Linked DNA regions of Ovis aries. The protein of the gene in region 1 purifies or fractionates together with the protein of each later gene. This does not show direct contact. Links are inferred from orthologs where the notes say so. Each region holds a gene or a part of one and is shown in the gene's direction. Other genes may lie near its edges.

Evidence for each region. The genes of interacting proteins can lie anywhere in the genome.
Region 2: the proteins of CDC25C (region 1) and SUFU purify together in Homo sapiens (affinity purification with mass spectrometry; 4 studies listed by BioGRID and IntAct, counting the BioPlex papers as one, with this or other methods). This does not show direct contact. The link is inferred for Ovis aries from reciprocal best matches to the Homo sapiens genes CDC25C and SUFU.

The regions. Positions count from the first base shown.
Region 1 is NC_056058.1:47,371,128-47,374,776, reverse strand, and holds part of CDC25C (M-phase inducer phosphatase 3), read left to right. Parts: intron 1-3,120; coding exon 3,121-3,273; intron 3,274-3,649. UniProt on the Homo sapiens protein: Functions as a dosage-dependent inducer in mitotic control. Tyrosine protein phosphatase required for progression of the cell cycle. When phosphorylated, highly effective in activating G2 cells into prophase.
Region 2 is NC_056075.1:22,883,293-22,886,941, forward strand, and holds part of SUFU (suppressor of fused homolog), read left to right. Parts: intron 1-2,102; coding exon 2,103-2,237; intron 2,238-3,649. UniProt on the Homo sapiens protein: Negative regulator in the hedgehog/smoothened signaling pathway. Down-regulates GLI1-mediated transactivation of target genes. Down-regulates GLI2-mediated transactivation of target genes. Part of a corepressor complex that acts on DNA-bound GLI1.

The DNA.
Region 1 (3,649 bases):
GCAGGTATTGCTTGTATATTTTTGAGATTAATTCTTTGTCCGTTGCTTCATTTGCTATTATTTTCTCCCATTCTGAAAGCTGTCTTTTCACCTTGTTTATAGTTTCCTTCATTGTACAAATCTTTTAAGTTTAATTAGGTCCCATTTGTTTATTTTTGCTTTTATTTCCATTACTCTGGGAGGTAGGTCATAGAAGATCCTGCTGTGATTTATGTCAGAGAGTGTTTTGCCTATGTTTTCCTCTAGGAGTTTTATAGTTTCTGGTCTTATGTTTAGATCTTTAATCCTTTCTGAGTTTATTTTTTTGTATGGTGTTAGAAATTGTTCTAGTTTCATTCTTTTACAAGTGGTTGACTTTTACAAGTTTTACAAGTTTACTTTTACAAGTTTTCCCACCACCACTTGTTAAAGAGATTGTCTTTTCTCCATTGTATATTCTTGCCTTTTTTGTCAAAGATAAGGTGTCCATAGGTGTGTGGATTTAGCTCTGGGCTTTCTATTTTGTTCCATTGATCTATATTTCTGTCTTTGTGCCAGTAGCATACTGTCTTGATGACTGTGGCTTTGTAGTAGAGCCTGAAGTCAGGCAGGTTGATTCCTCCAGTTCCATTCTTCTTTCTCAAGATTGCTTTGGCTATTTGAGGTTTTTGTATTTCCATACAAATTGTGAAATTATTCGTTCTAGTTCTTTATTTCCATACAAATTGTTAAATTATTTGTTCTAGTCCTGTGAAAAATACCATTGGTGGCTTGATAGAAATTATATTGAATCTATAGATTGCTTTGGGTAGTATACTCATTTTCACTATATTGATTCTTCCAATCCATGACCATGGTATATTTTTCCATCTGTTTGTGTCCTCTTTGATTTCTTTCATCAGTGTTTTATAGTTTTCTATATATAGGTCTTTTGTTTCTTTAGGTAGATATATTCCTAAGTATTTTATTCTTTTCATTGCAATGGTGAATGGAATTGTTTCCTTAATTTCTCTTTCTGTTTTCTCATTGTTAGTGTATAAGAATGCAAGGGATTTCTGTGTGTTAATTTTATATCCTACAACATTACTATATTCATTGATTAGCTCTAGTAATTTTCTGGTGGAGTCTTTAGGGTTTTCTGTGTAGAGGATCATGTCATCTGCAAACAGTGAGAGTTTTACTTCGTCTTTTCCAAACTGGATTCATTTTATTTCTTCTTCTGCTCTGATTGCTGTGGCCAAAACTTCCAAAACTATATTGAATAGTAGTGGTGAGAGTGGGCACCCTTTTCTTTTTCCTGACTTTAGGGGAAATGCTTTCAATTTCTCACCATTGAGGGTAATGTTTGCTGTGGGTTTGTCATATATAGCTTTTATTATGTTGAGGTATGTTCCTTCTATTCCTGCTTTCTGGAGAGTTTTTATCATAAATGGATGTTTAATTTTGTCAAAGGCTTTCTCTGCATCTATTGAGATAATCATATAGTTTTTATCTTTCAGTTTGTTATGTGGTGGTGTATTACATTGATTGATTTGCAGATATTGAAGAATCCTTGCATCCCTGGGATAAAGCCCACTTGGTCATGATGAATGATCTTTTTAATATGTTGTTGGATTCTGTTTGCTAGAATTTTGTTAAGGATTTTTGCATCTATGTTCATCAGTGATATTGACCTGTAGTTTTCTTTTTTTGTGGCATCTTTGTCAGATTTTGGTATTAGGGTGATGGTGGCCTCATAGAATGAGCTTGGAAGTTTACCTTCCTTTGCAATTTTCTGAAAGAGTTTGAGTAGGATAGGTGTTAGCTCTTCTCTAAATTTTTGGTAGAATTCAGCTGTAAAGCCATCTGGTCCTCATCCTGATATTAGATTCTATTATTTCCTTTTCCCTTGCATTCTGCTTATTTTGCTGTTTTTCTCCCCCCATTAACCTCTTTTAAGCCTGAATGATAGTTTTCCTCTTTCACTCCACAGATTGAAAAAAAACTTTTTTTTAAGTTTTCTTTTTTTCCCATGAAGGAAGTTCCAAAAAGCAAGCTTGAATTTGCCTACATGGGAAACCATTTACATAGCATTTACATTGTATTAGGTATTATAAGCAGGCTTCCAAGGTAGCATAGTGGTAAAAAGTCCACCTGTCAATGCAGGAGATGCAGGAGATGTGGGTTTGACCCTGGGTCAGGAAGATCCCTTGGAGGAGGGCATGGCAATCCACTCCAGTATTCTTGCCTGGAAAATCCATGGACAGAGGAACCTGTCAGACTACAGTCCACAGGGTTGCAAAGAGTCAGAAACGACTGAAGTGACTTAGCATGCATGCATGAGTGTGCGTGTGCATGCACACACATGCACACACACATATTATAAGCAATCTGGAAATGATTTAAAATATACAAGAGGGAATTCCCTGGGTTAACCACTCTGCAGTTCAACTGCATGGGGCATAGATTTGATCTCTGGTCAGGAAACTAAGATTTCACATGCTGTGCAGCATGGTAAATAAATAAATAAATAAAATAAATGTACAGAAGGATGTTCATAGAATATACTACATGATTTTAAATAAGGGACTTGAGCACCCCTAGATTTTGGTATCTGTGGGGGTCCTGGAACCAGCCTCTCACAGATACCTCACAGTTGTCTCAAGGGACAACTATACACTCTTGCTTCTTAGTACTTTTCACCTAGGCTAACTTTTTTGGCTTGTTATCTTCAGCTTTGTTGGGATTCTTAAATCTTGATAGTCAGGGTCTTAGGATCCCATAGAGAAGCTATCATATGACGAGAGGAATTAAGCTTGCATTTGCTTTTTTCTACAAGTATTGTCATATATGATGATCAGGTTGAGAATTTGGCTGGAGTTAAAACATCTTAGAGATGGAACATCATGGAGTCTGAGGAGAAGGTGTTAATGAGGAAGGGAGGACAGGTTCCTTACCTGGGGCATTGTTTCTCAAACTTAAGTGTTTCTAGGAATCATCTGGGCATCTTGTTAGAGTGCAAATTTTAATTCATCAGGTTTGGGAAGAAGCCTAACATCTGGGATTCTGCATTTCTAACCATCTCCCAGGGGAGGTTCACAGTGCTGGCCTGCAGACACACTTCAAGGAATAAGAACTATGGGGTTTCATGTTTCCAAACAGCCACCTCTGAACTGGAGCTCCCTGTATCGCTCCTCGTCATTGCCAGACATCTTGAACAGTCCAAGTCTGAAGCAGGTGGTAAAATTCAAGGACAGCACAATACCAGATAAAGTAAAAAAGAAATATTGTTCAAACCACAAAGAGCTCAGAAAGGTAAGACTTTTTTTTCTTTTTTTTTTGTCAGAAACTTTTTAAAAAGACAGTGTCTTTAATCTTTATCTCATCTTCTCCACCTTTCTGGGTTGGGGGGTTGCTTTGGCATAGCTTTTGGCCTTGTACTTTTACCTTTATCTCCTCTTTCCATTTTCCTTTTCTACATCTGCACCCATATATAGTATTTAATAATAAATATGTTATATTATAATTTTGGAAATGATATCATTGTATTGTCTTCCCAACCACCTTTTTTAAGATCTGAGAGAATACAAGGGAACTCTGATTGAGAAGGATATTTATTGCTGTTTTATAGGCATTTGGACAGAAATAACATCATAGAGCACACTGGTTTGCTGGAAAGCAAATTCTGAAA
Region 2 (3,649 bases), on another chromosome or scaffold:
ACAGAAGGATGACTTTCTTGACTAGCCAACTGGGACATCATGGCTGAAAGCTGAGGCTTTACTGGTCAGGGAGCTGAAGTAGAGCTAGTGCCCTGGGTCACTCTGGCAACTTCCCTGTGAAGTCAGGTGTTCAGGGACTTACACTGAGGGATGATCTGGGTCCTGGGATAACATCTTTTTCTAAGTGCAAAATATGATGATTTTCCACGTACTCATCTGCTTCCTATCAGGTCTCCGAGTGAGTAGAACAGAACACTATGTACTTAGAGAAAAGGCTAATTTTGTTTGACTCTCGGTCCTTTTCTGCAGATGGAGTTTTGAGGTAAAGCCTCTCTCTTAGATGAAATGCCCTTTGGGAGACTTGGCCAGGGCTGTCAGGGATGTGGTAGATGGGGAGCACAGAAGAGTGGACACAGTTTTGCCCCTTGTTGCTGGAGGGACCTAGGCTGAAGGCTGGGCAGGACTGGGACTCGGCAGCAGGGAGACTAGAGCAGATATGGAGCCTGTAATCATTCCCACCTGTTCCAGGGCTCTGCCGTTATCATGAGGTCCTTGCAGGGGTAACCACCCTTTCTTTCTTCTTTTCCCCAACAAACTTCTCTAAATCCAAATGATTATAGAATTAGTCAAATGGTTTACCCACTCACTCCAGTATTTGTGCCTGGAGAACTCCATGGACAGAGGAGCCTGGTAGGCTACATTTCATGGGGTTGCATAGAGTCAGAGATGACTGAGTGACTAACTTGGCAAAAGCAGAGTTAAGGAAAGACATGGAGATTTATCTCTTTTCCTAATCCACTCCGTTGAGATTCTAAGCTATTTGTAGCGACTTTCTTGCAAGTCCTATAAATAACTTAGCATTTCCCAGCAGAGAATAAGGACTTCTGCAAAGGCAAATAATGTCCTGGCAAAAGAGGGTGAAACCAAACCTACTGGTTTTAAATAGTGTTTGCATCGTGTGGTACTGGCATGTTTGCTGGGATAACATACGTGTAATCTTTTATTTGGTTGGTTGTGTTCTTTCAGCATATAATCCCCAATGCCAAGTGTACCCCATCCTTGTCCCAGGGTCAAGCAAAGTTTTTGCAGTCTGTGGAACCGTCCGATGTCCAAGGCAGCTCAAGTACAGGGTTTGGGGGCTAAATGCAGACTTCCTTGTGCTAATGGTTTCCATTTAGTCTGTCTCTCGAGTCTACCACGTTTCCATCTCCATTCTGAAGAAAAGCAGGATTCTTTTAAAAAGATCACTAATTACTCTGCTAAAGGGACCCTTCTTGAATTAAATCCTCAGAGTGAGCTAATGACTGATCTCTTCCTCAGTTGCCTCTCTGTTGGAATTATGGGGAAGTCTAATGTGGTCCTCAGAGGCCCTGAATCATTTAATGTTCCAGCTCTACCTTTCAGGCAGCCATCTCCCGGGATCATCTTGCAGTTGCAAGACCTCACAGGGCTCAGCCGGGCTCCTGCTGCAGTTCTCTGTGCAGAGCTAAGCTAGCCTAAGTTTGGCCTTTGTCACTTGCATGATAAAAGACCAGCTTTGGTCTGGGGTGTTCAGGCTGGGATCTGGAGGCATTGGGTCTGTTTAGAACAAACTATAATTAACATAGGGCACAATATGGTCTTTCAGGAATTAGCTGTCTAAGAGGCAGGAGTGGGGCCGAGCCTCTGCTTCCAGTAACAATGCCCATTGGAGATGCTCAGGATGGTCTTTCAACAGAGGCACATTGATTGACTGATGCACTTCTTGCCTTGAAGCTTGGCGTGTTTTCAGGCACCGTGGAAGAGAGATAATCCCTGCCAATCCCACTTGGGGTTGGTAACTTGAAACAGAAGGAAGTCAAAGGGAGCAATCAGTCTGTTTTATTTCTAAAAGAGGTTCTACCTGAGATAGGAGAAGGGAGCCTCTTGTGCTTGTGTAGCTGGGCTACCTCCAGCTGGCCATCCTTTGGTCTTATCCTAGAGAGGTATGGCCCTCCCTTTAGTTCTCTTTTACCCCAGATTCGTCCAGGATGGGGCCTATAGGTTTGTAAGGCAGAGCCCTTTAGCTTCACATTGTCTGCTTTAAGGTTTATGCTGACATCCCTGTGTTTTGTCTTTTGCAGGTTGGGTGGCCCAGACCCCTTGGACTATGTTAGCATGTACAGGAATGTGGGGAGCCCCTCTGCCAACATCCCTGAGCACTGGCACTACATCAGCTTTGGCCTGAGCGATCTCTATGGTGACAACAGAGTCCATGAGTAAGTGTGTACTCTTGCCTTCTATCTCCCTCTTCCCTAGCCTTGAGCCTTATTTCTGAGTTTTGTTTTGCCAAAAGTGTTACTTTCATTTTAGGTTTGAGGGATTCATTAACAAAAGAACCACTCATTACATACAAATAAATGATTTCAACTTTTAATAGATTAACTTAATTTCAATATACAGTCACTAGAAGGAAAAGAAATAGAAACAATAGAGAGAAGTAACAGCGTGTACATCACCAAATTGAGCCGACACCTACATCCAGAGTTGAACAGTGCTGGGAAGTCCCGAATGATAGCAATCTGGAGTCCCAGTTGGGAAAGGGTACCGAGCAGTGCATCCACCCCACAGGTGAGACTTCATATTGCACTTCTGGGGGCTCCTGCTTATAATCCCAGGCCGTAAACTGATATCATCGTCAGTTTGGGTGCAAAAAGGCAGCTCTGATTTAATTTTTACAGTGGGGTTTGTTTCACCTTGTGAGTCACAAGACTTCTTAGACCCCAGGGGTCTGCTAGGCCTTTAGGGGCTTACGAGATCCAAGACCCACTCCCTTTCTTACCTAAAGTGCCGCCTGACTGACTGTGCCTGTCGCTTGGATCCTGGGCAGTGTCCATGCAGGTCAGAAGCAGGTCAGAGGTCTGCCCTCCTGCTTCCGAAGCCTGCACAAGACTTCCTCTATTTTGATTTCCCTAGCCAAGTTTTCCTGAGCAGAGAGGATCACGTCATCGTCCCTTGAGTTTGGCATTTCTCACGTGGAACATCTGGGTTTCTGCCCTCTGCCTGTAGCCACTTGTGCCGATGTGGTCCAGATCAGGACCTGAGCTGTACTCATCTGGTGCAGGAAAGTGTCGATGAGAGAGAATTCCAAAACTGTTAGGTTTCTCCAAGCTTGTTGTGATGTTTGAGCTCAGAGTACAGGCAGCATAGCTGTGACCCAAAAGCTGAGTTGATTCCTCTAGGTCTACTTCCTTTTCCCCCCTCTGCCGCTGCTAAATCACTTCAGTCGTGTCTGACTCTGTGCGACCCCATAGACGGCAGCCTACCAGGCTCCCTCGTCCCTGGGATTCTCCAGACAAGAACACTGGAGTGGGTTGCCATTTCCTTCTCCATTTGCCCCCTCTAGATTATTATAAAAATTTTAAAAGAAGCAAAGTTGAAAGAGTTTTACAGTGAACAATCAATCATATACCGCTCCCTGGATTTTACCATTAATATTTTATTCTACTTGCTGTATCATGAATATGTACATCTCTGTTTCTCTGTGGATGTTACCTACTTCCTTTTTACCTCTAGTTATCTGTGCTCAGATCAGCTGCAGTACATTTTTTATCCTAGTCTATCTTCCGTTTGCTGCCCTGTGATACTTCTCAATCCTACCTGCCTCCCCTACTTCCCTTTCTAATCACTG